Linked DNA regions of Rhinolophus ferrumequinum. The protein of the gene in region 2 purifies or fractionates together with the protein of the main gene of each other region. This does not show direct contact. Links are inferred from orthologs where the notes say so. Each region holds a gene or a part of one and is shown on either strand. Other genes may lie near its edges. The genes, in order: METTL9 and SLC30A2.

Region 1 (16,872 bases), on a different chromosome or scaffold from region 2:
CTTCTCTTTAAAAGGATAAATTCCATGCTCTTGCTGACCATTTGCATGACACAAAGGTCAGCTCCATGACGCATCCCTCATAAGCACCAGAAGGGGAACAAGCCCAACGACCAGCAACTTCTGGACACACAGATGTGATGTACATACAACAGAGTATGGTATTTGGCCATCAAAAGGAATGCAGCACAGGTACACGTGACAACATGGATGGGCCTGACGACGTCATGCTAAGTGAATAATCCAGTCACAAAAGGCCACATGTTACATGAGCTCCTTTACATGAATTACCCAGAATAGGCGGCTCCAGAAACAAGGGTTACCAAGGACGGGGGTGGGGGTTGGGGGGGCGACTGCTCATGGGTACGATGTTTCTCTCTGGGGTGCTGGAAATGCTCTGAAATTAGAGTGGTGATGGCTGCAAAACCCGTAAACATACAGGACTAAAAACCACCGAATTGTACACTTTTAAAGGATGGATTTTATGGTATATGAATTATATCTCAATAAAGCTGCTATTTTAAAAAAAAAAAAATAACATACACACACATCTAGGCATTCTGATCTTCCAGAAATTCAAAGTGCTTTGAAAATTTAAGTGACCAAGCAAACCTCTTTAAAAATGCAAATTTTTAATGCACATTTGACCGTGTCACTTCCGTGCTTCCCAGAAGTATTAGGATAAAATCCAAAGAGCTCAGTCAGTATGAGCTCACCTCATGACAGTCCCTACCAACCCGTAACGCCTGGCCACTAGGTCACACGCTCCTCCCTTCTTTTTCTGGAAGGCTCCTTTCGCACGGCTGTCTCACATGGGATTTGCTCTGTCCCCTACATGTCCCACCACCCCAAAGTTACTCCCTCTTCCCCCATGAGTCCGACCTAAGCCCAAATATGTCTTCGCTGCATTTCCCTTGAACTTGTACGCGAGCCTGGGCCCCCGTTCTAACGCCCTTCCTACGTCCCAGCAGCATATTGACCACTGAACTGAATAACACGCATAACTGCATGGTCAGTGTCAATCTTCCCAGGAAGACGGGAAGTCACGTAAGGCAGGGACGTGATGGACTTCAGAGCCTGCACAGACACAGACGAACAATAAATGTGCAGCAGGTGAATGACTGTTAAAAATCACAGGTAGTCTGACAGACAGAATTTGGAGATTCTAGCAAAATCCTGGAGGGAACATAAGGATAACCAGCTGTCACTGGGTTTCTGTCGATTTCTAAAACCCCCAGGGTTTTGCAAGGCGTTGCTTAGATCCAGCTCTGCACACAGCAGTTCAATGTACCCACGCGTCACAAAACTGCGTTCCCACGAGCACGCCGCAAAGGTGGCCCGGCTGAGCACCTGCCTTGCCCGGGGCACCCGGCCGAGCTCCGCTCTTCACTCACCACCGCACAGCGTCTGAATAATGGGGTCCCTGAGCAGCTCTGGCCGATTCAGTTCCTGACTGAAGTACAGGTTGTTTTATAAAGACTTTCTTTCAAAGAAGCTTTTCTTCACCTCTACCCAGCATGTCTGTTTGAGATTCCCTTTCAGAAGAGAAAGCGAGACAATCCTGCCCAGTCAAATGGGACTAGATGTATTTAGAGAAAAGATAATCTGATCACGATGGCAATAAATTATCACAGGCCAAGACTGCTCAACTCAGCACCCCTGACATGTGAGCCGCGAACCCTTGCTACGGCGCTGCCCTGTGCGTTCAGCATGTCCAGCCGCCCTGCCCTCTGTCCGTCAGATATAAGTAGCACCCCCCGCCCCACAGCTGTGACAACCCCAAATGCCCCAGACTTTGCCGAAAGTCCCCTGGCAGGCAAAGTCACCACTGCTTAAGATCCCCTACCTGGGTTTCCCCAGGAAACGTCACGGTTCTGACTCCAGGAGTGTTTCCTAACCAGCCCAGCTTAGCAGTGGTCTAAGGAAATGAAAAGGTGGAGTCACCAGCCTCGGAACTTACACTCCAGGGGGCAGAGGGTCAGAAACGAAGAGAAACAAGTAACGGGATTATGAGTTTGGCCAGGACCTTACATGAGCGGCCACTTTGCTCCTGCAGTCCCCCGCCCGCCCCCCCGCCGGAGTTTCCTCTGAGACAACCCAGCTTAAATGAGAAGCTGGCGAGCTGGCTGCACGGGGCGGCCTGTCTGTGGGCTCCCGCGCCGCCAAGCAGGTGAGTTCTCTGAACGTGCGCTCCTCACGGACCCCAGAAGCAAGGTGCGCGGGCAAGAAGCAAGCACGGGGCTTGTGAAATGCTCGCACTAAGGGCTGTGTGCCAGCTGCACGGGAGGCTGGCTCCTGGGCTGGAGGCCACCGTGTCTGCAAAGGCCTCGGCTTACCACCTTCCTTGAAAGCTCACTCAAACGTGGTTCCATCGAAGTAAGTAAGGACATCGCGTAAACAACGAACCCTCATCAACCCCGAGTCTCGCCCCTGGTGCCAGCTGCTGGTGCCAAGGATAAAGCAGGATGTGATCACGAAACATTACGTCTTTAAAGAACGGCAGCAAGAGCAAGGCCCTCCCCATGTGCAACAGGACTGAGAAGACACTGATAATTAGCCAAGTCATAAACGGCCCAATCAGGAAGCGACAGAGCCCTGAACGTGCTGGACGGGAGTGGCTAACCAGTGATGAAGGACCAGGTCATCTCTTCCAGATTTCATTACACCCCTTAGCATGTCCTGGTCTTTACAGAACCTTGGCTGATGAATCACCCCCTCAAAGAATAAAATGTATGTGCGTATCAGACTCAGGGATACAGTTAAAAGCTTTTCTGAAGTTATTTTCCTCAACGAGTCAAACATTAGCTGTAAGACATTTATTCCAAAATAGTAGAAAGGATTTGAGCACATCAGTAGAATTAGAAAGTTATTTCTAAAATCCAACTTCCTGATTTTAGGTAATATAGTGTAATAAAAAATAAATATTTGTCTTTATCCGGGTTCCAGGCACAGGGCCCCTAACTCCTCGTAAGTGATAAGAGTAACTTCTACACGTTAATGAGACACGGATGAAAGTTTCAGCCCACCTTCCAACCTCCAGCGAGGGGCTAGGGGCTGCAGACTGAGTCATCACCAAAAGCCAATGATTTCATTGCGCTTAATTATGAAACTTCCACAAACCTCCTAAACAGGGTTCTGGAAGCTTCCATGCTGCTGAGCACACTGATGTGCTGGGAGGGCGGTACCTGGAGAGGGCATAGAAGCTACGTGCCACCCTGGCTCTGGCATCTCCTTCTGTTTGCTTGTTCCTGAGTTGTACCTTTACAATAACCAGTCAACATAAATCAAGTGTTTCCCTAAACTCTATGTGAGTTGTTCTAGAAAATGACCTCACCTGAGGGGGAGGGGAACCCCAGAATTTGTAGCCAAGTCAGACAAAGCACAGGTGGTCTGTGACCGCGACTAGACTGGCTAGCATCGGAAGTCAGGGCGGTCTGTGGGGCCGAACCCTTAAACCTGTGGACTGACGCTAACTCACTCCAGTAGGTAAGTGTCACAATAGAACTAAACGGCAGGACACCCAGCGGGTGTCAGAGAACTGGAGGATCAGTTGGTGTCAGGAAAAAAAGACACATAGATAAGATTTGTTTTGGTTTTTTTTACGACATTAAACTTGATGAAGCACATGTACAAGCTGGAGGGGGGCCAGCGCCAGGAGCAGTTGTCCCAACCTGTTCAACTCAAACTGCAAAAATTCCAACTGGTGTTTCTGCTCGCCGCTATACGCCGTCCACACGGGCCCCACGAGTGGGGCAGTTTCGTTTCACAGCCCCTCAGACGACATGTTTCTCAGGAGGGACATCACGAAGCAGTGGCAAAGCAGACAGACCGGGATTCAAAACCCAACATGTCATCCATGAGCTGTGCTCTTGAGCTAGTTTCATCTCTCTCGGCCTCCACCTTCTGTCTGTAAAATGGGGGTGTACCACCTACCCCCCAGAGTGGTCATGAGGATGAGAGGGGATAATGTATTTCAAGTGCCTGGCACACAACAGAAGCCTTGTAACTAGATCTCCTTCCTCTTCCTGTCCAAGATGCACAAAAGCTGGTGAGAGGAAAAGTGAAGTTCAAGGGACTGTCTAAAACCACACTGTCAGGCGGGGCAGCCAGCCATTCTCACAAGCAGTGAGCGATCAAATGTGACTAAAATCCATCAGAAAGGCTCCACTGACGGGGTCCATGAGCCAGAACCTTCTCTCCTCCAGGGGATGGTCAGGCCAGGCCCAATGACACACCTCGACAGCCAAAGACTGAAAGATCGCACTCCAAGTTTCTGCAATGCAATCAACTCAGTCCACACATTTCACCATCGGCCCCTGCGGGCATCTAAGCCCAGCACAGGAATAGGTTGTCCACCCATTCATTATGTTTCGACTAATAATACGGAGCTAACCCAACAACCTCTTCAGGTGAGATTTCAATGTGTACGGTGACAAGGCACCTCAGGTCCATGCAAGGGAACAATTTATACAGATTAGATTCAGTTGCTTCGGATTTGATTTCATAAATAAATTACTAGCTATCTTCCTTTCGAATGTTCACTGTTAGTATTTTATAATCCTGACATGTGAACAAAGCTTCAGAGGATCTAAACAAGTCTTTTCGGGAAGTTACCATCTTGTTTAACACAAACTGCAAACTTCAGCTAGTGTTTTCAAGATCAATGTCCACACAGAGTTGGCTTCCCAAGGCCTCCTAGGCCACCTTCAAAGGGGCGCAGAAAAGGCCCCTGGTGTGTCCAGCAGATGACAGATCCTAGTGTTCCAAAAACGGAAGCAAACACTTGTTTAGGGTTTTCAGCACAGGTTCTGAGGAAGGAAAGAAGCCCTTTTCAAAATCTCTTTGCTAAGCGGCTGCAAAGGCCGCCAGACTCTCGAATCGGTTCAGAGGACACGAATCCGTCAGTGTTTGGCTGGCTAGCTGGGTGAGTGCCCCGAGCACTGTTAACTCATGCCTGACTTTGGTCTGCCCCCACAGGTACATGGGAAGTCAGGGGACAGGAGACCCAATCTGTCCTTTAGCACAACTTTTGACCTCTGGCTGTGAGGTCCAAGGATTTCTTCATTTGGAAAAAATACCCAAACCATTTCAATTCTGTCCTGAATCCATCATCGCATTTGGCATAGCACAGTTCTTCTATAAGAAGGTGAAAAAATAAGTCAGGATACATACACACAATTGCAATTTTAAGGTACACCTTCACAATTCCGAACATTGAATGTTATCTGCGGTTGTAAAACACCTTGCTGTATGTCATCTGGTGCAAGTGTCCTGGCTTGGTTCTAGGGAGTTCTATAACAATTCTTTTCAGTCCATCACCTGAGAAGCTGCTGAATGACTGATATTACCAGGAACTTAGTGGGGCCTGAGGGTCCCTTCCAGTTTCAGTAGCTCTGTAATAGTTGCATTAACTTTAAGTACCAGGTGCAATGCATCGAAAAGACTAGATCTAAAGTTTCTCCTCGTTTCAAGTTCAGTCTGCCAATACTGAAAAGTGACATAACTAGTTTCTCCCCAGTGAGTCAATCTACCCACCTTGCAACCTGTGATTAAGAACCTGCTGATTAAGGAAGCTGCAAGTTTTCTCTGGGGAAAAACTTTTTCCTGGAAAGGATCAGATAGTAAATATTTGAGGCGTGCAAGTCACAACGTAGCAACTACTACTCTGCTTACTTTTAGCCCAGAAGCATTCACAAACAGGCAAATGAATGTGGTGGCTGTGTGCCAATAAAACTTTATTTGTGGACACTGAAATTTGAATTTCACATAAGAAACTTTCCCGTGTTACAAAACATCCTATTTTTTGTAACCATTTAAAAATATAGCTTACTTCACAGGTTGTGCAAAAAAGTCAGTGATCCAATTTGGCCTGCAAGCCAACCCCGCCCCCCCCTTCCCTGCTTCTCGGCTTGCCCCAAGTGAAACATAATCTCAGTTTTGAAGCTAGCATACCAAACCGAGTTATTGCAGTGGTGCTGCTACTATAGTTTCAGAGCTGCTTTAGCTCAAAGAAGCCTTGCATCTCTGGGCTACAGTAACTAAATAGCAATTGTTAATGAAGAAACATTGCCCAAGTGCTGGAGGATTCTTTTAACCATAGAATCCTCCATCATAATTTCTTAATAAAATAACCATAAGGAAAGCTTGTGCTAAGTATGGTTCAATCAAATCCATAACCTTACTTTCATGCAACTCCAAAAGAACCAGATGTGGCTGGCTATGGAACTCACATACCCAAATGAACACCAGAAGACCTTGTATAAAACTATTAATTTGAAGGGGGGAGAACCATTAGAGTTGAGTTACTTCACAAGCAACCAAGTTTATAAAGCAAATCCAGGATCCTGGAACATAAAGCAGAGAAGACAGTCTCCTGTTTCATTTAACCTCACTGTGGTTTGCATACATATTTCTTTTGTTCATTTTAAGCTTTGTTTGTGAACAACATTTTCATAATGTGAATGTATCATCTCGAAATAAAGTCGGGAATGATCATTCTAAGGAAAAGATCTATTCTCCTTCTCAATATTCAGAAAACACCGGTTTACTCTTCCACCTTGGAGAAATTAGGTGCCAAATTGTTAGTGCCACTGGTTAAAACACAGACACACACTCCTGAGTATCTCCAAAGCATAATGAAGTAAATGAGGTATCCAAAACCAGCACCAGTTTTCCTTAGAACCTGACAGATGATGCAGCTTTAAAAGGTACAACATTAGAAAGTAGCCTTTGTTACAAGGAGATATTCTGAGGCTACATCTATAGCTATAGTTCCACCTAGGTTCCATAAAAATCAAAGGAAACGGTTTTTTGATTTTTAACATTCGTCCCATTTTATGAGCAACGAAACATATCCAGTCTGTTGCAGTAGAGGTGGTCACAAGTGTTAGAATAAACACCAACAGCTAAAACCTTCAACCATAATTCCACATCAGTGGAAATCAGCCTTGTTTTTATCCTATCCGGGACCTTATTTCAACCAACTGCTGAAAGTGACATTTTTAATTCACTGTTTTACACCATTACCCATGTTTCATACGGATATATGACATTTTGGTAACTGTTCGTCATCACTACAGTAGAGCTGTTTACCTAAAAAGACTAATGTAAGTAATTAATCCATAGCAAAGAACGTGGTTTCGCAACTTAAAATCACCTAACAATATCATAGGAATTGCCACAGCTGTGGGACTACCAAAAAAAAAAAAAAAATCATGGAAATTTATGATTTCCTTTACAAACAGAAAACGGGCCATTATAAATATTTGCTAACTGAAAACTAAATGCTACTTTCCTGAATGAATTGCTTTCCGCCCCTTGGATAATTCCTTCCTTTCATTTAAACACACACACACACACACACACACACACACACACACACAAAGACAACGTGGGTGTAAAGTCTCTGAACCCCCAGCATAACAAGAAAAGCCACACAGGAGAAAACGAGAAGTCTACGAAAACGATGAGACACAAAATGGGGAATAAATGGAAAGGCAAAATGTACTGTAAATGCTACTATAAGCCAACACTATAGACTTCAACAGCGTGTCTTTTCAACGCATGTCACGTGTGAGCTGCAAACTACCTGGTGGTCAAACAGGACACCTCTCACTCTTCATTCCACAGCTGACCTGCACGTACTTCTTTAAACGGCACAAAACCAAGCTAATAAAAAAAAAAAAAAAAAAAAAAAAAAGAAAAAAAAAAAAAAAAAAGACGACCCAGCCGGTCCCATCGCATCAACTGCAACTCTTGAAACATTTCCTTCCTGCCCAGTTCCGGTGTGAAAACCCTGCCAGTTCCGAGCTGGCGCCCATCACCTCCCTCCCTTCTCACCACCCCTTTCGGGTCGGGCACCAACATCCAAGTTGGAAGCCGAGGTCCCGGGCCGGGTGGGACGCGAGCGACGACCTGTCAAACGCCTGTTCTAAGGGCGGCGGGGACATGTCACCTGAAGGAGCCCGGGGCGCTGAGCGGCGGCGGGCGGTGCACGGCCACGTTCCTTTATGACCCTTTGTACGACCGCGGACTGCTCCAGACAAAAAGCGGGGCCGGCCTCGCGGGGGCACGGGGCGTGCGCGGGGCGACGGGCTGGGCCTGGGCGGTGCTCCCCGAGGCCCGGCGCCCGCCGCGCGCCCACGGGCCCCCACGGTCCCCGGGCCCCGAGGGGGCCGCACGTCTGCAGCCACCGCCTGGGACGCGGGAACAATGCGGGCTCCGGGGCGCCCACGCTCCGGCCCGCGCCGGGGACACGGGAGGCCGCGGCCGCCGCGCCGGGAACAAAAGGCGCCGCGGGGCCCGGGCCGAGCGCCCGGCCCGGGAAACTTCGCGAGGCGCCGCGGCCCGCCGCCCCCACGCCGGCGGCCGCGCGAGGGAAGGCCCGGCCGCCACGCCCCCGCCCCCGCCCGCGGCCCGCTCCGTACCTGGTGGTTCTCCTTCCTGCCGCCCGCGGCGGCCGCCGGCCCGCCGGGGCCGCTCGTCATGTTCACGTACAGGGAGCGCGTGAGCGGGCTCCGCAGCGTCCACATCCTCCGCGCCAGCCACACGGACGCCAGGCTCAGGCACAGCCAGCCCGCCAGCAGTCTCATCAGGGACCGCGGCCGCTCGCTCCGATCACCGCCGGCGCCGCGGCGAGGAGCGGGAGACGCCGCCGCCTCCGGCCGCCGCCACCCGGGCCCGAGCCATCGCGCCCAACTTGCCCATCCAGCCCCTGCAGGGCCGAGGCGGGGGTGGGGAGGGGCGGGCGGCGCGCGGCCTTCCCGCCTCCCCCTTCCTTTCCGCCCGCGGAACGCCGCCAGCGGCGGCGCGGGTTTCCACCCGGAGCACGTACGAGCGGCGGTGGGGCGCGTTCTCGCCGGGGCGCGCTCCCCTCCACCCAATCAGCGGGTCGGGCCGGCCGGGAGGCGGGGCCGAGGGAGCGCGCATTCGCCTGGCGCGCGCGGCCCAGCCTCTCCTCGGCCCCGAGCTCCGCGTAATGGCGGCGATGATGGTAATTTTTTTAGGCTCCCTTCCGAAGGCGGTAATTGGAGCCTCCCGGTCCCTCCACCGTGGTGGCCGCGGGAATTCTGGGGTTGGCTCGCCTTAGTGATCGGCTCTGGGCCGCTCATCCCAACCCCGGCCGGACTTGAACCCTGCTGTGCCCATTGGTCCGGGGCAGAGGCGGCGGCGGCGCATTCCTTTCCTAGGACCAGACAATCAGACTGAGTCCTTGCGGGAGACGGACGCTGCCCGCTCGTCGCCGTTCCTGGCTTAGCTGCGTGGCTTCCTATTTACGTTCAGAGCCAACAAGCCAGACCCTCACCCCGGGGGCCTCCAGCCTGCTTTGCAGGCAGGCATCTGGGGGCGGAGGGCAGACCACCGCGTCCCGTTCCCCAAGCCAGGCCAGTTGCAGGCGACTGGTTTCTAAGAGGCCTCAGTGAAAGCTCTGCCTTTGTTGGAAGCTACTGCAGCTGGCGCACCTGTAGGTCATGCTTTGACGTCCTGATGACCCTGTCCAAGAATGAAGGAAGACCCCAAACTGGAGTCCCTGGCTGCTTGTTTCCTGGAACGAACAGGCGGAAGTTGGGCACGACACTCTTAAAGCCAACTAAGAGCTGGTATTTACCCGGATGTGTCTTTAATCATTTATAGCTCGGGGAGACCTAGTAGCAACATTCCAAACCTGAAGGGTTACACTGTGTTCCTGTGTCTGAAGTTCTTCCTGCTGCTACCCAAGCTGCAACCAAGGAGTAACATGTTTCATGGGTTCTCGAAGTTGAACACCTTCCTCGATTTGCTTAGAGAATGCTTTGGATTTAACTGCTCTAGAAATACTGTATATACATTTTATCTTAGTTCAAAAGAAACCTGTTAACGCCAACGTTGCATTTCAGAGGCTGTCATTTATACATCCACTGATGCGGAACAAAATCATTCCTTACCCACAGACGTTTTTATTAGATTCAGAGAATCTCAGCTTGGCACCTATCTATCGCTAACAGAGACATCCTGTTGCCTAATGCTACGTAGGCTATTAAGAAAGGGGGAGGGTACTTTGCGTTCTCTTCCACTATACTCTGGGACTGCTTCCTGCCAAAACCCCAAAGAGCTTGCACCTTACTAAATCTAATTCAAACCTCTCGTGATCCTGGCCCAAATCATCAAAAAGGATCTATGGTAGGACGTCCAAATACCTCAGTTTGTTTACCATGTCTCCTCTCCCTCCTGTCTCTTGGGATCAGTGTCACAGATAAAGCAGCTCTGTGCCAAAAGAAACCCTTCATCTTTTAGACAGGGGTGAAAGCAGCAAGAGCATATAAAATGACATATTTCGTTTCTGAAAACAAAAGGTAATGCCCCCCACTCTAAGCCTGATGAGCTGCAGCTCAGAGTCTGCAAATTGTGTCAGATGAGCAAGAAGCAACTAGATGGCTCTGGAGTCTGAAGGACAGGGTCAGGTGACTGCCAAGGAGCCCAGCATCTCAAAAAGAGCAGATTTTCACTTCTCACCTGAGCAGCGCTCCTGGAAGAATAAATCATTTCCATATTATCATACTCTATAATAATCACAAAATACTCCAACACATGTTATTTACACCCAGCAAGCACAGGAAGAAACCAAAGCACAGCGTGACCAAATGATTTGCCTAAAAGTAGCAGAGCAAATTCAATAGCAGACCTTTTCAAAGAAACCGGTATCCCAGCTCATGGTCCTTCGATCCATCTGAGAAGCCTCGCTGTCCTTCTCTTCTCAGAGAGCCTCCTGAATTACAAATGAGGAGGAAGGAAAAACAGCAAGAGTAAATATACTAAGCAGAAGTTCAGATTGCCCTCCGGGACTGCCCCTTTCCTTCATCTACTAGAATGTCACTACTGTATATTAAAACCTCAATTATCCATCACGGACAGGGGAAGAGGCACAGATCACACACACACACACACACACACACACACAAATATGAGTCAATATCCTTTCTAATGTGGCTTTGAAATGTAGGCAGTGACATTCAAAAGACAACGTAACTACCATTCTCTCTGCTGAGTTTTCTGTTCACTGCCCTACTGACCAGGAGCTTGGGTGTCCAGCTTGGGTCACAGCTCTGTGCATAGGCCCAAAATCTTGTCGGATCACTTACCTACCTAGATTTCAAGAAAGGGCACTTTTGCTGTGACTGTTCTTATCGACTACAAATTACGGCATTTTCATGTTTTTGATTACAAAGTCTAGTGTATAGAGAACCCACTTGGGAGAGCGACTTGGTTCTGTAGAGGGCACAAAGTGTGCCGGTCACTATTGGTCATTTGTCATCTCCCTGAAGAGATACTAGTCTAAAAAGAACTCATATAATCACCTGTTTTCATGGACTTGCATGTTTTAATACTTCTTAACAATGTTTTGTAGAGTGTCAGAGAAAGGTACAAACTTTCCTCAATATATTCAATGGAGGTGCCCTCCAATGGACAGGCCACATCAACAAAATAAAATTAGTAAATGTATTCAATACGTTTTTAAAATTAGTAAATGTAGGGGATTTTTAACTGGACTTCGTTGATATAATTTCAATCATGCAAAGACATCACAATGGTCTCTGACTGATACATTCTAAGCTAAGGTGGAACTGCAAACAGGTTTTTAAAAAATGGCAAAATAAAGCAGCAAAATTGAACAAGAAGTGGGAATACCTAGTGGTTCATCCTCTGTGCTCCTGAGACAGACAACCTGGGTTTGAAGCCTGGCTCTACGCCTCCTGCTTAAGCAATTTGTGGCAAATGACTTCTAGGTCTCAGTCTCCCCATCTGTAAAATGGGAGTGATAATAATGGTTACCTATCTTGTGGGGATGTGTAGAGGATTAAATGATATGTTCTAAATACAGAGGGCCCCAACACAGAGTAAGCTCTCCAAAAAAACGTTCACTTGTTCTTGTTTGTACTGTAACTTGGGTAAATCGACGTCTTCTGAACCTCCCTTTCCTCAGCTATACACTGAGGGCCATGGTTCTGAGCGGACTACTTCACATTGTGTCTCTGAGACACAGATGATCTGAAAGCTTCCTCAACTGTAGAAACATCAACCAAGGTTATCGCAATAGGGAGACTCAGTTCTAATGTGACAGTGAGCTCTGCAAAGCTGCTGTTCCATGAAACATCCCCATAGAGGCCAGTGATAACAGCTCCTCATGACGGGTCGGTTCCCAGACCCCTTCCTGAAAGTTGGAACCGAGGGAGTGAGGATGGTTGTGGGGGAAGGGAACCTAAAACAAAACAATGAAACTTTCAAACCTAAAGTCACAAAATCCGGCAGCAAACTCAAGCCACCTCCTTGTCAGGGGTGCCTGTCTTTCTGGAGGTAACCAGAACTCTCCCCAGATGGCCCATTTGTCTGCATCTGTGCCAGCCACAGAATTGCACCCGCTTGAAAGCTTCTGACCCCCGCGCTCTCCCTCCCATGGCAATGTCATACCTGTTTCAGTTTATGTCAGGAATAACATCAGAAAGACAAAGAAATACCACATTCACACAGTCAATAAATATTTATTGAGTCCCGTGCCATACACCAGCTGCTGGACTAAATAGAATGGAAAGCGTAATCAACACAATGTGTCACCTTCACACCCGCTGTCTAGTAGGGAGGCAGACCCGTCCAAGCAATCACAAAATGAACACACAATTACAACTGCTAAGTGCTAGGAACTGTATACAGTTAGGAGAACTTAGAGCAGAGCGAGCTGACCTAACTGGGTCAGGAAAGGCTGCCCCGAGGACGTGTGGCTTTGTGGCCCTCGTTTTGACATCGTGCTAAGCTGGAGAGCTTCCGAGTTGCCCAAGTTCCTCTGGACTGCAGTGACCCCTCCCCAGGCTGCTTTCAAACAGCGGGCGTGGTTGTTACGATGGAACCACAAGGCTCAGAGGAAACGTGTCTGTTCTCTTTGCACAAGCTGCTGAAGTCGTCCCCGAGCTCAGGGCCAGCGTCCACTTTAAACTTCACGTCCCACAAGACAAATTCCACTAAGGAAAGTCCTGCAGCCTAACACTCAACTAGATCCCCGACTCCAGCAAACAAATCAGTTTCTTCATGATCTCAAGGTTGAGGGGTCAGAAATCTTTTAATTCCATCTAACCGATGGTGGTACAACTCGAGTCAAACAAGAGTCGTATGCAGTGTCTTCAGCAAACTTGCTCTTCCCATGGAAACCCCCACCCTGGGCCTCAGTTTCTTTACTTTAAAACCAGCCACCTGTGTGCTTCCGTTGTGCCTGTACGCGACTGCTTCTAGGATCCTTAAAAGAAATGGGAACATAGAATAGTGTAAGCCTCTTCAAGGGATATGTGGGTTTTTAACATACACATTTCAACTCCGCAAGGTCCTCCTAGTAGCAGGTCTGAGTCAGAGCTCTGATGAGAGAGAGGAGGCTGTTGTTTTCGTTAACTTTCTGGGGCATTTTCAAAGGTTCAAAGATCTTCTTTCATCTTGTTTTAAGTGTATTTTCAAAACATCCCTGTCCTTGGCCGCTTAATTGCTGTCTCCTGCATGTATGTGGGTTTGGCCTCATGAATGGCTGCTTCCTCTCCACCACTGTAAATCACAGAAACCATGCCACTGTGTTTTCATAGACTTATTTTGAGACTATAAAGCCTTCTTTTGTGACTATAAAACATTCAACTTTATGGTTTTTATGAAATACATGAAGAAATGTGCACGGCACGATGAGCAAGCTTTGGAAACAAAATACAAACATGTTATGGACAGGGCGCATATGTTCGTACATACACATAAGCGACCTTAAAGAGTTTGTGTAACTGACCACAGAAGCACTTCTCTGCTGAACTATCTTATTTTTGCACAACCACAGACTGGTCTGAGAATAAGGAAGATGTTTATGAAAGAAGATACTGGGGCAATCAACCAACCCGAAAATCAGGCCGAATGATCTCCCTGCCCTGCTGAAAACTGTGATTGATTTTTTAACAGCCACAACTCGTGTGAGTGCGTTTTACAACTTAGCCCAGCATCTGCCGGAAACTTATGGCGTGCCCAAATCATTCAATCCAGGCAAAAGGCGCTTGGCTGTTAGATAACCAAAACCTCAGCACGGTGAGACCCCTGCCGTTGTTTCTTCTCCACTCATGGTCTCCCCTTACCAAACATCCTTTGTTCCAAATGGACAAAGTCAATATTGAAAGCGGCTATTAAGCTATTCCACAATAGAGACGTTGTTTGGAAGTTCACTAGCTTTCTATGCTCAAGTCTTTTGAAAAACTGGTTGAGATATGACAGGGGCCGATATTAGGTTGGCAGCTTTGCCTGTACCATGAAGACTTTTCTCTTCCGCCAGTGGAACTCAGATTCCACCTTCCTCCTCCTGCCTCCCAGGCCAGGCCAGCAGGGTGGGGGTGGGGGTGGGGGTAGGGGTGCTGTCTGTGCTCAGAACTTCACTCAAGTGTAGTTTGGTATTTGTGAATATAGAGCAGGCTCTTCTCCCTCCAGCAAAAGTCCACTTTCTAACCCAAACTATACATGACACTGGAGCCAAACTTGCTGCTTTTCAGACATCTCACAATTTTAAACCAATTGCCTTAGGTTTCTGCTTTTGTAAGGAGACATGTCTACAGATACTTTTTCCCACATCTACAGTCACCGTGACTGTCCAACGGAACGAGTCTTCAGAAAAAAGCAAAAAACAAAACCTAAGTTGTCCCTGTAGGGCTTGACAGCTCAATGGATTCATTCATTTCCAGACTCTCAGACATGCTGACTGATTCGCAGACTAGAGTTTCTACATTACTGAACTGTAAGCAGCAGCAATATTCGTGGGCATATTTTCATCCTGACACACGGTGAATCACGTCACACTGGAGGACAGCTAACTCTTGTTAGTTACTCTCTTATCCTATTTAGAACTTATATCTGTATCAGAAATATGTTATATTTTCGACACATCTGTTTAAGGATGTTTGAAGAAAAAGAAATTTAAGTCAGGTCTTTTTGATGTGGTAGGCAGTACATGGAGTCGATGATAAAATTGCCATAAAAACTTTTGAAAATAAGGAAATCAAATTGCTTTCTGAGGATCACACTTTTTAAAAGCATGCGTATAATGGATAAGAACAAAGAGATACAAAGTCACTTTGAAAAAAGGCAGGTCCCCAAGCCAAGACTTGAGTGCAAGTTGACTGAAGGAAGCTGATCCCAGATCTATAGAAATAACGGCTCATTGCGGGTGGAGGGTGGGAAGAGCTGGGTCAGCTCTGAAAACCTAAGCAACGGACAGGCAGGCTGACTGGGTAGCGGCTTTCCATCCCCAGCCCCGGAGACGGTACCCTGGCCCCCTCCGCTCAAGGCAGCCTGTGTCTATGCGGATGAAGGTGGGCGCATCCATTGTATCAAGGCTCCATGACGTCAGCCATTGGCGTCATCCTAAATCGCCATGTCCCTCATTCCATCCCTTCTATGCCAGCAAAACCTCAGAAGATGGACGGATGCACATCACGCTCCGTGTGGGAACTGAAGACGACCGGCCAGCCTTCCTTCACCCAGCTATCAGACCTCACTGGGCAGAACAGTGCACTGGATAGAAATGAGGCTTTCCCAGTGGGCCTGTGGGTCTCTTCCAAGGTCGCTGCACCCACCACACTCCCGGTCCCTGCGCCCCATGTCAGTTTACCCAGCCCTCATCTTTACCATCCAAAACAGGGTGAGCGTTTGCACCAGCAGGCAGGAAAACCAAAGTCTAGTTACAGCCATGATATTTTCCACGTGACCTTGGAAAACCACATGACCTCACTATTTTGTCTGTGAAAATGGTAATTAATAAAGGCCACAGGTACGAAACGTAATGGATTTGGACCAGACGCTTAAAGCCCCTTCCAGTTGTAGCATCTGTTCCTTCACCTGCTTACTTTCTTTCGTGAATTATGAATTCTGTGGAATTTTTCCCCCCGTGGGCTAAGAAAAACATATCTGTACTTGCACAGTACACAAGACAAGTGGCATAATTTCTGTGTCGCCCCACACCCTGTAAAAACAAATCTCACAAATTCAGAGTTCCGTAACTCACCATAAAATAGGACATAATTCACCACAGATAGTACAAACCTGCGACCAAAGTTTGTGAGTGGAGACATCTATTGTTTCGAGAGTTGGGTGCTTGACACATTGTCAGCACCTTATGACCCGAAACCAAACTCCTCGCCTTTCTTACTCCCCCATATTCATCACCCTCCCCATTATCGCCACCTGCTGGTCACAGCGGGAGGCTGGCCCAATCCCCTGGGAAGCACCTGAGAGGACAAGCACTCTAGAAATGAAAACAGCCCTGGTTCTACCCCATGAAAGTCTAGATCGGGGTCACAACCTCACTCTTGCTGAAAAAGCGCCTCCTTCAACAGCACTGCACGGGTACCACACATGCCACTAACGGCGGCACATATGAGGTGCCAGACATCGCAGTAAGTGGTCACCAAGGGTCACCTTTCTAAATCCTCTTTACAATCTATGAGGCTGATGCCTGTGTGTGTGTGTGTGTGTGTGTGTGTATAAATAAAATACACAGAGGGGGCCAAAAAAATGTATACACGTTTTAAGAAAGGAAAAAACTGTATTAATATATACCAATAACAAAAGAATACAAGGCACATTTGACTTCTGCAATGACAAAAGGTGCTCAAAGTGGTTCCCATCAGCGTCCAGACACTTCTGATGACGGCGAACTACTGCTGGAGCAACGCTGACCAAAGTGTTAACATCTCTTAAAATGTGTACCTTTTTTTGGCACCCTCGGTATATATACACTATATAACTATATATAACTATAACTATATATATATATACACACACACACACACTATATATATTTTATATATATATATATATATATATATATATATGTATGTA
Region 2 (16,121 bases):
TGAACTTCATTTTCTAACTTTAAAAATTTGGTTAAAAGAGGGTCAATAATAGTGACCACCTCACGGTACCGTTGCAACAACTAAGGTATTGATACAGAAGAGTTTGTAAAGTACTAGGCACATACTAGTTAGTGCTCAAAGCTAGTCTTAGCTTCAGCTTCTTTTTTTTTTTTTTTTTTTTTAAAGATTTTATTGGGGAAGGAGAACAGGACTTTATTGGGGAACAGTGTGTGCTTCCAGGACTTTTTTCCAAGTCAAGTTGTTGTCCTTTCAATCTTAGTTGTGGAGGGCACAGCTCAGCTCCAGGTCCAGTTGCTGTTGATAGTTGCAGGGGGCGCTGCCCACTATCCCTTGCGGGACTCAAGGAATCGAACTGGCAACCTTGTGGTTGAGAGTCCACTGGCCCATGTGGGAATCGAACCCGCAGCCTTCAGAGTTAGGAGCATGGAGCTCCAACTGCCTGAGCAACCGGGCCGGCCCAGCTTCAGCTTCTTAATGTGATCATCTGTGATACTCAGGCACCTTAATTTGTCTATACCATATCCACATTTGTGTTTATAATTACTCTTCCATAAAGTACTTATAATAATTGTAGCAATGTATCCAAAACAACTTTAAGGGGGAAATATTAAGGGAAAATGAGGAGACTGGATGAAGAGCGAAGATGTTAATAATTTGCTCAAGGTCACAGTTGAAAGGTAGCTATTTAGCAACAGAGAAAGAGAGGGTGGATCCAGTTTTGCACTGTTCTGATAGGTGTTGCTCCAATGACCAGGACAGAGAGAGAAAGGTGTGCGGGAAGAGGGAAGAACTGTATATGGGCTGGCGTGAGACAGAAAAGCTTCGTGACCCCTGTTTTTGTCGGCTGTCCCGCAAGCTTGCAGAATCTAGTGTTACATCTATTCTCTGAGCCGCAGATGTACCCCATTCGTGGGTGAGGACAAAATGCGTCCCAAAGCTGAGATGCCAGCAGACTTGGGTATAACCGTTGCTGTAGATCACCTGCTCCACGGTTACCTTCCCAAAGCTAAGATAGTCTAGAGTGGATAATACTGTGTGAACAGTATGACGTGGTGATGACCAGCACTGCCTTCCAGAATCTCCCTCAGCCTCAGTTTCCTCATAGGAAAATGGTGAGAGAACCAACAGCTACCATTTATCGAGCACTTTCTATGTCCCAGGCACTAAACCCTTGACATAAATTCTATAATTTAAGACAACTTCAAGAGGTAGTTTCTGTTGTCATCTCCATTGTGTACTTGGGGAAATAAAGCCACAGCAGGCTGAGAGGTCTGCAGGAGGCCACGCAGCTAGTGGAGCCCTCGCTGATGCCACTGAGGGCCATCTGGCTCACAAGACTCTTGTGAGGATTGTAGGAGACAATGAGTGTCTGGTGCTTAGCACAACACTTGGTACATAGTAAGTCCTCAGCAAACGCTGCTATGAGTAGTTAACTGCGATCATGATTAAACAACAGCAACAAAACTCCCTGGGTTATGCACGGATCCCAGCTAGCTGGCTGGAATTTGGGCTATCATTTTGGAGGCATGAATTCTTTCAAGCCTCTCCTCAGAAACTCCCGACACATGCTCTGATTCTGTGGCGACTCCCTCAAGGCCCCAGAGGATTAAAAAGGCCGCTTGGGAGAGGGGTTGGGTGACACATTTCCTGTTAGCAGAACTGGAAGGTGATATCCCTGGAGGTGAAGCGAGGACACAGGTTGCAGCTCAGTCATGGTCTGTCTGGGGCTCAGCTTCAGAGAGCTAAGGAGCAGGTGGCCCCAGAAGTGCACCCCACCCCTCTGTGGGCTGAGGAAAGAGGAAAAGTGGGCAGGCAGTGCTAGGCAAACACATTTCAAAGGCTGGGCAAATTTCTTCAAGACAGGAGTCTGGTCCCTGAGAATCCAGGCGTTCTTGTCCCATCTCCACAGGTGGTAGTTGTCTATCGAGAGGTAGGCAGAAGCCTGTGTGCCTCTCAAAGTCCCCTCTGGTCACAGGCAGATCAGATAATAGATGCCACTGCTGCTACTGGAACAAAAAGAGCCTTTGAACCTCTCTCCCTTGGGGGGAGGGGCGGGTGGAAGGAAAGGGAGGGCTGAAGAAGGAGGAAGCCCGCTTCTGTACAGTTGGGGTTTGACAAGCCCATCACCTCCTGGGCAAGTGATGTCCCTGCATGGCCGGTGGACTCGGCTGGGCGTTGGAGTATTTGGATCAGTGCTGTCTCCAGCCTGGTTCCCCTTTGAGCAGCTCCTTGGAGAAGCCGGCCCATCCTAACACTATTGTTCTTTGTCACACACAGATGAGGAAGAAGAAGAGTTCATTGAAGAAGGTCAGGAAGAGGAAGAGTCCACGGAGGGGAAGGAAGAAGGTAAGAAATCCGTCTACCTCCATGCTTTCATTCGTTCATTCATTCATTCAACCTCAGGAGACGCTGATTATGTGCAAAGGACATTGGGGAGGGTGCCAGTATGTGATGTTGTTCCCAATATGTGTTCTAAACCTTTTAAGGTTAAAGACCTGCTCCCTTTACCTTTAGAGAAAAAAACAATCCAAGCTATTCGTGATAAAACGCTCCCATTTTATATCTAAATGACCTTCCTATATGGAAAGTAATACAGAGTAACAGAAATAAAACACACGACACTCATGAGCCAGGCTTGGTCCACTGAGGTGTTTTGTTTGGCCAGCACAATGTTTAAATTTTTAGAAATTAGTTTCCAACATTTTTTAAGTTAGATTTTTCGAAGGATTTTTTTTTAAAAAGGAGATTTCAACTAAGAATCTGGATTTCCACCTTCTTGTGAAAATTTGGAAAGAGCTAACAATGCTGAGCTTGCCCTTCTTCCTCGTCCCAGAGAGCCGGTGCTGGGCAGTGGCTGCCCCTTTTGGATGGGACGTGTACTTGCCAGTTTGCTCAGACCCACCACTGTCAGCCTGCCTGCTTTCCAAATTCACGTCATCTGCTGGCCCCTGTAGGCATCTGAGTTGGCCAACCTGCCAGAGTATAGTTAAGAGTTCTGAATTGCAGCTTTATCACAGACTATTGCTGTCATCTGGAGCAGTTCACTTTTCTGAATCTTGGGCTCCTTACCTATGCACGGGGGCAAAATAGTACTGACCACAAACGTTTATGGTGGAGAGGAAATTAAATAATCACTTAACACAGTGTCTGGCACGTAGGAAGGACTTGTTTCCTAATTAGCAAACATTTCCTAGTGCTATTATTTTTCAAGTCAAGTTATTATTGGAACTAAATTCCAATCCTGAAATATACAGAGTGGACTTTTGGAGCTGTGTATTGGATGTGCAATCCACAGTGCTGTGGTAACTAAATTCTATGTTGGTTTGAAAGGAAGCAGCCAGGCAGGAATTGGAATTTGATAATTTTGTCACTGCAGCTTGGTAGGCACTGGGTCCCTGAGTCCCTCACCTTTTGCTTCTTTGTCTTTTTTTTCTTTTCCAGGACATCAGTAAGAAGCCGGATGAGGAAGAGACTCTCTAGATGCAGAGAGACTGGGGAGGGTGGGGATGGGCCCAGCTGCCTTGGTGACAGGCCCAGGGTGGGAGGGGTCGGGGCCCCTGGAGGGGCAATGGGAGGTGTGTCTTCTCTTTGCTCAGAGAGCAGGGGACTAGGAGTAGGGCCCCCACCGCTGTGTCCAGCAGTCACTGAAACAGAGTTGGAAAAATGCTTGAAACAACCACACAGGACACTTTTCTACGTTGGTGCAAAATGGAATATTTTGTACATTTTTAAAATGTGATTTTTGTATATACTTGTATATGTATGCCATTTTGGTGCTTTTTGTAAAGGAACTTTTGTATGATAATGCCTGGTCATTGTGTGACTGGAGATTGTTAGACAGAGGAGAAGGAAGCCAGGTTGGTCGAGCTGCCCACTTCCTTTCCTCACTGGGAGAGCTGGGTAGCCCTCACAAGCCTGGAAGGGATAACGTACTGTATTTCAATGCCCATCCCTGACATAGGGGATAGCAACTGAGTTTGTGTTATATGTTGTTTTAATAAATGCACAGCGCTCTCTTCCTGTTATTACCAAAGGAGTTGGGGTTTCATTCAGCCTTTTTTTTTCGGAAGAGTTCAGGGTGGCAGGACAGTGGCCTGATAGGAAGTGTGTGACAGGAGGGAGACGGTAAGTAATGGCAAGGCTGGTCCCACCTAAGAAGGACCTCTTTAAACCAGCATTTCCCAATGAGGGCTCCATGGAAACCTGGCCCTGAGATGATCTTCAAGACGCAGGTTTAATGCCCCTGGTTCTTTGGTTCTCCAGAAAACAGAGCCTGAGGCAAAGCCTAAATGTTTTAATCGAGGTACAACCCCAGGGCAGCCAAGGTGAAGAAAAGTGGAAGCAAGGCAGAAAAGGAGGGAAGCCAATAGAAAGTGTAGCATTATTGAGCTGGCCACAGCTTCACCAGACACCCGGCTGCTTGCTCAGTCATGTGAGATGTTTCTAGCAGGTCATAAAGAACACAACTGATTCAAAGCAGTCAGTTCATCAGAGAGAAGAAGGGAGAGAATTTTGTCTGTTGGCTCCTTTTATCTCTTGTCTCAGGATTGAGGTTTGTCTCCCAGGGCTTTAATTCCCTTGCATTTCCAGGTTGTATCACTTGGCCTCTTCGGGCAGCTGCTGGGGAAGCTAAGCTAGATGGCACAAAATCAATTGGCTCTGCAGGTGGTTGGAGGAATAGAGCTTCCATGGTCCAGTTGGGTTGGGCATGGATGCTGGATCTGCTGCTGGCCCCTCTGCAGTGGGCACAGTGGAGACTCTGCTGGAGCCCACACTTACTCCTGGGAAGGCCAAGACATCCGTCAAGTGCTAGGGGATGAGGCAATAACCAAGGCCAAAGTAGCACCAAGGCTTTCCATGAACCAGGGGCCAAGGGGCTGGGAGAGAGATGAAGCTGAGTAAATTGGAGATGGTGCATTAATTGGGTCTGAGACACCTTGGACCTATAAATTTAAGAAACACTGCAGAGTCTGTCCCACCTTTTTGACATTCAGTACACAGTAGCAAGTTAAGGGCTCTGAGAAATCCTGCCATAAAGAAAGCTATTTAACTTCAGACAATGACTGGTGCTTCAAATTTATGGTGTTTGGAATACTGCCTGATACATGACATCTTAATACGTGACATCTTCTAGAACAACTGGAGTTCTGTAAAACAACTCACTTTATGAAAGTGCTTTAAACCCTCACACCTCTGCCCATTTTTCCTTCTGGGAGTTTTTCCAAGGCTAACTCAGTCCCTAACCTTGAATTTCAAGGAGTCAGATTTTGCTGTCATTTCTATTCCTTTCTCCAGTTCTGAAGCATTGGGAAAAAAATGTAATGTTACACACAAGTGTACAAAACTAGTTGTAAAGCTTAATAAATTATTGTAAAATGAAATCTTGTGCTGTTACCATGCAGGTCAAGAGAAAGGACATTCCCAGCCCCCAGAAGCCCTCCAGGTACCCCCTCCCATCATAACTTCTCCTTCCGCATGGAGGTAGCCACCATCCTGTCCTTTTTAATAATAACACACTTGCTTTTCTTTATAGTTTTATCTTCTAAAGTATCATCCCATAGAAAATTGAAGGAATTTGAGGCCAGAAAGCAAGAGGCTTTTATCACCTTCAAATCACAAGAATCAGTATTACGAATCTAGCTACATTCTATCTCCAGATTTCTCCAGGTTACTGATTCCATCAGAGACAGGCATGTCCATCTACTATCTGTCAGTTAGCAGAGGGAGGCAGGAGGACAGTCAAGGCTCCGTAGTCAGTTAAAATTTAAATTCCAGGAAGATATCTGTTAATTGCAAATAAAAGGATCTCTACTTTGCTACATGAAAGGCTCTGCCTGTCTTTGCAAACCAGAACACAAAAGGGTGGTATGAAGAGTGCTTGATCAGGCGGCCGGCCCAGTGGCTCAGACGGTTGAACCGCAAGGTTGCTGGTTGGACTCCCACAAAGGATGGTGGGCTGCGACTCCTGCAACTAACAAAGGCAACTGGACCTGGAGCTGAGCTGCGCCCTCCACAACTAAGATTGAAAGGGCAACAACTTCACTTGGAAAAAGTCCTGGAAGCACACACTGTTCCCAAATAAAGTCCCCTTCCCCAATAAAATCTTTTTTAAAAAAAACAAGCTTCCTTTAAGATCATGCTGCATGGGGTGGCCGGTTTGCTCAGTGGTTAGAGCAATAACACCAAGGTCGCAGGTTCGAGTCCCACATGGGCCAGTGAGCTATGCCCTCCACAACTAGATTAAAAAACAACAACTTGACATGGAGCTGATGGGTCCTGGAAAAACACACTGTTCCCCAATATTCCCCAATTTAAAAAAAGAAAAAGATCATGCTGCATGAGAGAAAACTGGCTCCAAAGAAGTTATTCCGATGAATCTGAATACAGTTCCATAGGCTGCTGCATTAGAGTCACCAAAGAAGGCTTACTTTTCTTTAAATGTTTAATTCTGGAAAATTTCAAACACATGGAAAAGTAGAGGGAATAGTACTCATATAATGTACCTTCTATACCCATCACTCAATTTCAACAGTTATTGACAAAATTATTTCTTCTCTACCCTTATTAGTCACTTCCCCCACTGGGATTATTTTAAGGCAAATCCCAGATATCATGTCATTTTATCCTTCAATACTTTAAAGATTCTTTTTAAAATCATAGCCACTATACTATAAAAAAATGAACAATAATTCCACAATAGCGTCAAACAGAGGTCTTAAAAATATAGATTCTCAGACCCCACCCCAGACCTACAGAATCAGACTCCGGTTATAGAGTAAGGGAATCTATATTTTAAAAATGAGATTCCTTAGGTAATGTTGGGGTCTGAGAACTGCTGGGTCATTCACATAGGACCTCTTAGGAATCTCTGCCAGACCCTGGTATATAATACAAGTGGACCTGGCAGTTTTCAGTATATCAAAGTCTTGAATAATTAGTCAAACTCTTACAATTAAAATGCATGATGGGAAAGTATTAATTTGAAGGAAATCTGGCATAAAAGGTTTTATAAAATGTGTATGTATCTGGATCCGATTTGTAAATTTGCGTTTATTGAAAATTTACAATGTGCCTTGCATTAGAGGGAACAAGAAGGACATATAAGATGCACTTTTTAAAAGCATAATGTTTTGCCTTCAAATAATTTACAATATTTATTCATCTGTGCACAGGGCAGTTTGAAACTCCACACAACTGAGATGGCCCAACAAGAAATTCCTGTGAGCTGCACCTGCGTCACTTACTCTCATCTGATGAGTGACCAGCCTGATATTTGTACGCATCTTTATTTCACGCCAATTCACAGGTATGTAATTAAGCGCCCCGTAGGTGCTCAGAGCTGGATCAAAATGTAATAGAAGTACAAAATACATCCCTGCTCTCAAAGAGCTTATAATCTAAAGGGGCGTATCTGAGATGACCTGCAAGACTTTACGCAGAGGTCCTCAAACTTTCCTGTACAGAAATCCCTGGAGAATCTTGTAAATATGCAGATTCTCAGGCTCCGCACCCAAATGCAGGGAGCTGGCACCTGCATTTTCACACTTTCTCCAGGTAGTACTGAGTCTCTTGGTCCTTAGACTATACCAGGAAAGCCAGGCAGCCTGAGGTCAAGGTTTTCCACACTTAGAGTCCAGAAATGGAGAAGCTAAATTTCAGGCACGTGTGCCGCTGCCACCATTACTCCTCGCACTTAGTCTCCTAACAAGATGACTCTTGTTTGGGGGACAGATTCAAGGAGTCCCTCCTGGTCACCAGTGGTGTGTGCTCTTGTCTCTGTAAGGGGCCATACCCAAGCCGTGGCCGCCCGACCAAGGGCGTTGGGGATGATGGGGTGATTTGCTAGGGAGGTCACCAACCCAAAGTGCTTTCTATATACAGTGCACCTATCAGAGGCCAGCGTCGGGGACCCCTGAAAACCCCTGTGGAAGGACTTAGCTTCCAGAGAGTGGGCTACGAAGCCGGTACAAAGGACTGGCCAGCTTCTCCCCGCGGGACACCACGCCTGGCACCTTGCTGGGGCTCCTGTGAGCTGCTGCGGGGCCAGGGGAGAAGGGATGGTGGTGGTGTGAGCTTTGCCCAGATGGAGACTGCTGCTGAAGCGCGACACTGTCCTATGTAGGGGGTGGAGATAAAGCCGGTCACCCCAGATTCTAATCGGAGCGCGCAGGTGAGAAACTGGCGTTGTTTCCGTGGCAAAATGGATCGGGCAGTTCCAACTAGTCAGTCCTAAAGAGGGCCACAGCCTCGGCCCGAGGAGAGGCAGGCCCCGCCCCCAGGAGCCCCCTGCCAGAGCCGAACACAACCGACCTTAGGCGGCTGCAGCCTGAGGGTGGAAACCGACCAAATTCCCAGGAATCTCCAGCCTGTGGGGAAGACACAACCCTAGCCTCAGGAGCCACATTCCTGCCCTCCAGGGGCCCAAAGCGGATTTCTACAAACCAAGGTCCAAGAACTTCTTGGTGGGACGCTGCCAGCCCCGGGCGGGGGACAGCGAACGCAGCCAAAGCCCAGTCCTAACTCAGTGGAAGCAGTTAGGCTTTTCCTTACAAGCCAGATGGGATCCCCGGGCCCCAGGGTGCATGGGACTGGTGCTCTGGGGCAGCTTCGGAGCATCCATTGCAGCCGGCCACCTCCTCCCCATACCCCGCGGGCTTTTGCACACGACGCGCGGCGGGCCGCTTCACACGGGGTGGCGAGGGCGAGATAAAGCGGGCAGACGCGGGACGCGGAGAGGCGGGAGCGCTCTGCGCGCAAAGCGGGGACTGGAGCCGGACGATCCCAAGGCGACCCCAGCGCGGCCGGGGCCCGAGCAGGCGCGAGGCGGAGAGGTGGGCTGGGGGAGCGAGTAGGACGACGGGCACGGCGCGCGGAGCTCACCCCGCAGGTGAGTCCGCGCCCCCGAGTGTCCCGAGCGCCACTTCCGGGACTCACTTCACCGGGCGTCCGCGCGCCGCTTCCCGACCTAGCTCCCGGCGCGCGGGGCCGCATGAAGGCCACGGATAAGCAACATTTGTTGGACGCCAGGCGCGGAGCCCGGTAAGGCGAAAGTGTGGGGAAGGGCGAGAATTTGAGCAGCATCAGACGCACCTCGTTTGCTATCCTGGGATGGTTTGGGTGGCTGTGTGGCGGCTTGAACTGAGACCACACAGGAGGGGAGGAGAAGGGGAAAGGGGAAATCCAGCTTGGCACCGGGATCATCACTCCCTCACGTACAGATCCTGCCTGACCCTTGCCAGCCTGTCTGGAGTGAGAAGCCTAGAGCCCCGCCCCCGGCCAGGCACTTTGCCCCCGGGGCAGCCCGGGCCTCGGAGGCCCTGTGTCCCCAGGTGCGCGAGATGGGGGTTTGTCCATCTTCCCGAGCCAGAGCTCTGTTCCTTCTCCGCGCTCGGGTGGACCGCCCCGCCCCTTGGCCAGTTCCCAAGGTCTTTGTCTCCTCCAGGCCCTGGGAGGGATGGGGCAGGAAAGAACACCTGGGCCAGTACCCCTAGACTCCTGCAGACTGGTCATTCCCCTAGTACCCACCTGCGAACACAAGCTTCTGGTCACTCCTCAGGGACTTCGAGCTTGGAGCACCCTTATCTCTTCTCCTAATTGGACACATGGGACCTCCAAGGCCCCACAGAGAGCTAGGAGTGGAGTCAACTCTCCTTGCCTCCATCTCAGAGCTGAGTCTCCTCTTTCTCTTCTTCTCTGGCCAGTTCTTATACGGGATCTCTGTGGCAGGATGGGGCTGGCTGGGTTTCTCTGCCTCCACCTGGCGTGGATTTGCCAGCCATTGAGCTGGCTGTGGAGAGCAATCATTACTGTCACACTCAGAAGAGTCCTGGCAGTCACTGTGACCCCAAGAAGGAGCGGGCCCGTCGTCAGCTTTATGTGGCCTCTGCCATCTGCCTGGTGTTCATGATTGGGGAAGTAGTTGGTAAGGACTTTTGTGCTAATTAAATGAAATTGGCTTGTAGATAGTCTGGATGATCTAAAAGACTTTTCCCCTGTAATGTAAGCCAGTAACATTAATACAGTTGACACTTGAACAGCGTGGGGGATTAGGGTCACCGACTCACACAGTGCAAAATCCACATGTAACTTTTGACTCCCCCAAAACTTAGCTATAGTCCACCCTTTGCATCTGCAGATTCAACCAATGTGAATGGAAAACGGTATTTTCCTTCCACAGTTGGGAATGTGGAATTACTCTTTCTCATCGGGGAGTTGGTTGAATCTGCAGATTCCAAACCTGCAGATATGAAGAGCCCACTGTACTTACTGAAAAAGATCTAGGAATAAGTGGACAGGTGCAGTTCAAACCCATGTTGCTCAAGGGTCAACCATACTATAGCCCCATTTATCAGACTTTCACTATGCTGTGTTTAAAAAAAGATTAATTTTAAATTAAAAAAATTTTTAATTAATTAAAAAAATTTAATTGAGAAAAATTTAATTTTTTCAATTACCATTGACATACAATATTATATTAGTTTCAGGTATACAATATAGTGATTAAACATACCTTATGAAGTAGTCACCCTGATAAGTCTGGTACCATCTGACACCATCTGTTATTACAGTATTATTGACTATATTCCCTATGCTAAGTCTTTTATATGCACCTATCTTATGCAATACGCACAACAACCTTGTGCTATCATATGGGTGCTGTCAGTCTCCTGATTTTACAGATGATGAAAGTGGCACATCAAGTAATTTGCCCAAGATCACACACAATTAGTAGGTAAGGGAAGACCTAAATGCCTAGAAGGAAAGAACATTTACTGAATGCCTGCTATGCTTTCCAGGCCCTATTTGAACTTGATTTTTCACATTCGCCTTCTAAGTAGATATTGTTAGTCCTGTTTAAGTTGAGGTACAGAGAAAGTAAATCACTTGCCCATGGTTACACAGTGAATGGGTGGAGAGGTCCCGGTTCCTGTATCTTTCTCCAGAGTCCATGGTTTCCCTGCTACACACACAGTCTGGGAAGTTGGCTTCTTGGAGAGCTGATAAGGACCCTCCACCCTCCTGGTACTGCCCCTGCAGGTGGGTACCTAGCACATAGCTTGGCTATCATGACCGACGCAGCCCATCTGCTCACTGACTTTGCCAGCATGCTCATCAGCCTCTTCTCCCTCTGGATGTCTTCCCGGCCGGCCACCAAGACCATGAACTTCGGCTGGCAGCGAGCTGGTGAGAGCACTGGTCTGGATGGGGGTGGGATTGGGAGAGGGGTGGGTTAAGACATGGGTTCTAAGGTGGCTGCAATGGTGGTGGGTCCCTGAGTGAGACCAGGAGGGTGGCTTGGGTGTGGGAAGAACATGTCAACTTTGGCTTCTGTCCTCGGGGAACTCCTAGTCTACAGGGAAGAAGAGTTCACCTTCCTAAGAAATGAAGTGGCAAACTTCAAGAATAAATGACTATGGCATTAACTCTGCACGTAACTCCATGTATCAGCTTGAGGGGCAGGAAAGCTCAGCCACGCCTTCTTGGCTGAAGAAATAGGATGTAAACCCTCTTTAGTTCATCTCTGGGTTACATTCTCATTTTCGTCTTGGTGGGAGACGGCCCTTCCTCTCCTCCTCAGAAGCTTCAGTTTGCCTGCTGAGCAATAGTATATATTTTAATAAGTCAGTTTCTTTGCATGTAAAACAAAAAGGTTTGACCCATGTGACTTCTTAAGTACCTTCTAGCTCTGACATTGTCAGAGGTATGAGTGGCACGACAGGGTACAACCATGCCAGCTACACGTTCAGCAGAGCCCATTCAGACCCAGGCCCTGACTTTGAGGGGTGGGAGTGGGGGTACTGGAGGGAAAGAGAGATCTCCTCAGCCTTAGGGCGCCATGGTAAGATTGGTGTTGGGGTGGGTTCTTCCTCAGAGATCCTGGGAGCCCTACTCTCCGTGCTGTCCATCTGGGTCGTGACTGGGGTACTGGTGTACCTGGCAGTGGAGCGGCTGATCTCTGGGGACTATGAGATCGAAGGGGACACTATGCTGATAACAGCAGGCTGTGCTGTGGCCATAAACATCATGTGAGTGCGTCCTCCCTCCTCCCGCTTCTCACATGCGTACTTGTGCTTGATCTTGGTGGATGCCGGCCAGGCCACACCAGTACAGGCTACCGGGAGAGTTTCCCTGATGGTCTGAGCTCTGGCACCTGGAACACCTGGATCCTGCCTAAGGCCAAGGCCATCGGGAGCTGTAAGTCTGGGGCAGCATCAACTCCACCCCTGCTCCCAGATACATATCAGTGAATAACCTGGGAGGCTTCCTATCTGAAGTGGGGAGGGGTGAGTCTAGTTCTTGCAGGAGCAGATGTCCCTAGGGGCAGAACACAAGTCCTTTTTCCAGCTGATGTGCCTGAAATTGGTGTCAGAGAGAGGCAGGGTATACAGAGCATCGGTCTCATTTGGGTTCTTTGTCCCTTGCTCAGTGGCCTTGGGCAAGCCACTGCCCTCTCTAGGCCTCAGCTTCCCCATCTGTGACATGGTGGGGGAAATGATAACCTCCATGGTACCCTCGTGCTCTGAGATTTGGCACTGGGGCATTTTTGAGCCCAGACTCAGCCTGGCATTGGAGGTGAACCCTTTGTCCTGTGGCACTCTAAGCCAATGCCATGTGGGTCAGGCTCCTCACATGGCCAAAGGGATCGGCAGTCTGGGGGTTGGGATTTTTGCTCCACAGATTGGCCAGACCTAATGGGTGGTCTCTACCTGCTACCTCAGTGAGCCCCTTAGCTTTGTCTCCACTTCTGTAGAATGGGGTTGACTCTTCACCAGTCTGGCCACGGGCACAGCCACAGCCATGGAAACAGCCACAACCCCAGCCAGCAGCAGGAGAACCCCAGTGTTCGAGCTGCCTTTATCCACGTGATTGGAGACTTGCTGCAGAGCTTGGGTGTCCTGGTGGCAGCCTATATTTTATACTTTAAGGTCAGAGCTGGGGACAGAGAGAGGTGGGCTGGAAGGGGGGGATGGGCAGAAGAATATAGATCGTCTGGGGGCTCCTTCCGCACAGGACCCCTTCTAGATTCTAGCTCCCTCCCATCTCTGGGCAAAAGAAAGCGTGGGGAGAGGGAAGGAACATTTATCCAATTTCTGATCCTCACAACAACCCTGTACTGGTGTTTTTCGCAGCTCAGAAAACGCTCAGTGACCTGCACTGTGTCACACAGCTGGTAAGTTGTGGAGCCAGATTCAAACCCAGCACTCTGTGCTGCCGAAGCCTGGGCATTGCCCGGCACAGAGAGGCAGTGTGGTGTATTTGAAAGAGCCGAGGGTTGAGGGTGAAGTCTGGCTCCAGTCCTTGCTAGCTGTGTGATGTGGAGTGAGTCCCTTGCTCTAACGGAGCCTTAATTTCTGGTAAAATGGGGACATTGGACTAGATGTTGTGTAAGATTCCACTTAGCTCTGTCCATGCCTCAGCCCCTTGGTCAAGGAGGGGTGGGAAGGAACTATGCCTTATCCTGAACTGTGGTCTGTCCTGCCTGCCTTTCCGGGCATGGAATAAGCTGGGAGGCAGGGCTAGGGTAAGACTCATGTCCACCCCGCCAAGAGCCCCTCTTCCTGACAGTGCGAGGTGGGAAGGGAGAACAGAAGCTGATGTATAGGTGTTGAACCCCAGCTCTGCCTTCCCTTTTTCCTGTAGCCAGAGTACAAGTACGTAGACCCCATCTGCACCTTCCTTTTCTCCATCCTGGTCCTGGGGACAACCTTGACCATCCTGAGAGACGTGATCCTGGTGCTGATGGAAGGTAACTGGGTTTGGGCTCCCTTTTTGCTCTTGGCTCTCCTGCTCTATTGAAGTTCCAGGGGTGGGCGTAGGGGTCGAATCCCAGCACATTGATGGGGAGCCAGGCTCTGGAGCCTGGCATAGGCTGGAGAACCTCCTGGGGCCCCAGGCAAATCTTGGCATCAAGCTGGGCCCTCAGGTATGGCCATTCCTGGAAATGTCCCCTGGACCATGCCTTCCCTTCCCCCTAGGCCCAAGGGTGCCTCCTCCCTGCTGGGTGTCCTCCTTGACTAGTCACTTGGCTCCTGGGTGGTATTTGCAGCACCTGGCACTTCAGCCCTTCCCCATACACTTCCTCTGTCTCCATTTGCTTCCCCTCAGGCAGAGTGAGGGGTGAAGATATGCTTCCCATTGCGGAAGGGAGGCGGGCAGACTGAAGCTCAGAAAAAGACAGTTGGTGTTGGACAGGGCTGCCGAATCCACTCCAGCTCAGGCCTTTTTTTCCAAAGCCCTGGTGGCTGGGCTTCGAGGGGTGCCAGGTAGTGGTGAATAATCTGCTCTGAGTTACCACACTCATTCACCTGGCTTTCTTGTGCTCCAGGGTCTTGGGTCATGGGTCTCTGTGTGGGCAGGGTCAGCCTGGATTCTGGTCTGGGGTCAGCAGGAGTGTCCAGCTGCAGGTCAGAGTTTTTCCTCCAAGAATGTGACTGACTCAGATAAAAGTGATGGTCAGGATGCCCCATGTGGGTGCAGGGATCTCCAGCTGCCCTTCTTTTCATTCCCAAAAACCCCACAAAACCTTTTTTATTGAGCTCCTGTTATGTCTGGGCACTGTTCTGGGCACTGAGGGGGATAGGATGGTAAAGAAAACAGGCTGTCCTGCTCTCATGTGGAGTTGCCGTTTTAGAGGGGGAGACAGACAGAAAACTAACAAGTGAGATAACTTCAGACAGTGTTAAGTGTGGAGAGGAAAACAACAACAAAGTGATACGATGGGGCTCGTTTGGGAGATGGGGGAAACATCACATCTGCTGGCCAAGAAGGTCTTCTCTGAGATGACATTCGAGGAGCAGGAACCAGCACGGGTGGAAGGGAGCAGTTTCCTTCAGCCCCATCCCTGCCGTCCTCAGGGACGCCCAAAGGCGTGGACTTCACAGCTGTGCGGGATTTGCTGCTGTCCGTGGAGGGGGTGGAAGCCTTGCACAGCCTGCATATCTGGGCGCTGACTGTGGCCCAGCCCATGCTGTCTGTCCACATTGCCATTGGTGAGTGGTGGGGACCCTCCGGGTAGGGTGTGGGAGAGAGGCAGCCAGAAGCCTGGGACGTCCCTGATGGGTCTAGAGGACCCCAGACGCTTGCAGTGCCCATGCTTTGAACCTGGCCCCATGCTGAGTGCTTTGCACACATTATTTAATTTGATCATCACAATCCCATTTATAGATGGAGAAACTGAGGCTGGGGGTGGGGTGAGATAGTAAAGTCACTTGCCCAGGCTTTTACAGCTCATAAGTGGCAGAGGAAAGCCTTAAAGCCTGTGTTTTTCCTGCTGTTTGGGGATTGTGCTAGGTATGGGAACCAAGTTGCCTGGGGCAGGGGTGAAATCTGGGGTTTCTTAATGTTCATGGTCCCCTATCCTGTTCTGCTGGGGGTAGGGGATGAGAGTCAGTCTCTTGATTGTTCCTAAGGGCCCAAGAGTGAGTAAACGGTTCTCTGGTGCCTTCCCTGGTGTGTCCTCTTGGTCCCCAGCTCAGAACACAGACGCGCAGGCTGTGCTGAAGGCAGCCAGCACCCGCCTTCAGGGGAAGTTCCACTTCCACACCATGACCATCCAGATCGAGGACTATTCTGAAGACATGAAGGACTGCCAGGCGTGCCAGGGCCCCTCGGACTGACTGCCTGGCCAGGTGCCAACTGGGGCAGGGACAGGACCTGCAGATGGCAGGGCCCAGGGTCCCCCAGGTCCAGCCAGGACTCTGTTTACCCCGTCTGTGTTATAAACGATTTCCCTCTCCTGACCTCTGCTCCATGTTCAGTGTGGAGGAGCCTTGCCCACTCCGGGAATGGGGCTTTGCCCCTGCCTCCCCAGCTGATTAGAGCCAGCCCACGGATGGGGACTCCAGGTGGCAAGTTAATGTGACCCGTCTCTTCTGGCTCCTGGGTCGGCTCCGGGTGGTCTGGCTTTGGGTCTAATCCTCAGCCAATGCTGTCCTACCACCAGCCTCAGGGAAAGGCAGTGAGGCACATGATGGGTGCTGGAGCGGGGAATGGCCTTAACATCCCCTTACCTAGCCATCTCATTTCCTGTTTTCAGTCTATCTGGACTTTGTCTTATGAATCTGTGAAGAAGTCCAGGTACAGAGTCCCCTCCCTTTGTC

Evidence for each region.
Region 1: the proteins of SLC30A2 (region 2) and METTL9 purify together in Homo sapiens (co-immunoprecipitation; 3 studies listed by BioGRID and IntAct, with this or other methods). This does not show direct contact. The link is inferred for Rhinolophus ferrumequinum from reciprocal best matches to the Homo sapiens genes SLC30A2 and METTL9.

The regions. Positions count from the first base shown.
Region 1 is NW_022680357.1:16,852,043-16,868,914, reverse strand, and holds the start of METTL9 (protein-L-histidine N-pros-methyltransferase), read right to left. Parts: upstream 8,752-16,872; 5' UTR 8,589-8,751; coding exon 8,424-8,588; intron 1-8,423. UniProt on the Homo sapiens protein: Protein-histidine N-methyltransferase that specifically catalyzes 1-methylhistidine (pros-methylhistidine) methylation of target proteins.
Region 2 is NC_046292.1:17,837,306-17,853,426, reverse strand, and holds the start of SLC30A2 (proton-coupled zinc antiporter SLC30A2), read left to right. Parts: upstream 1-8,213; 5' UTR 8,214-9,010; coding exon 9,011-9,060; intron 9,061-9,722; coding exon 9,723-9,943; intron 9,944-11,058; coding exon 11,059-11,205; intron 11,206-11,893; coding exon 11,894-12,047; intron 12,048-12,772; coding exon 12,773-12,947; intron 12,948-13,662; coding exon 13,663-13,768; intron 13,769-14,876; coding exon 14,877-15,011; intron 15,012-15,431; coding exon of another isoform or gene 15,432-15,448; exon of another isoform or gene 15,449-15,492; coding exon of another isoform or gene 15,493-15,638; exon of another isoform or gene 15,639-15,761; intron 15,762-16,121. Other genes in the region: E3 ubiquitin-protein ligase TRIM63, read left to right, coding at 2,299-2,367, 3,463-3,473.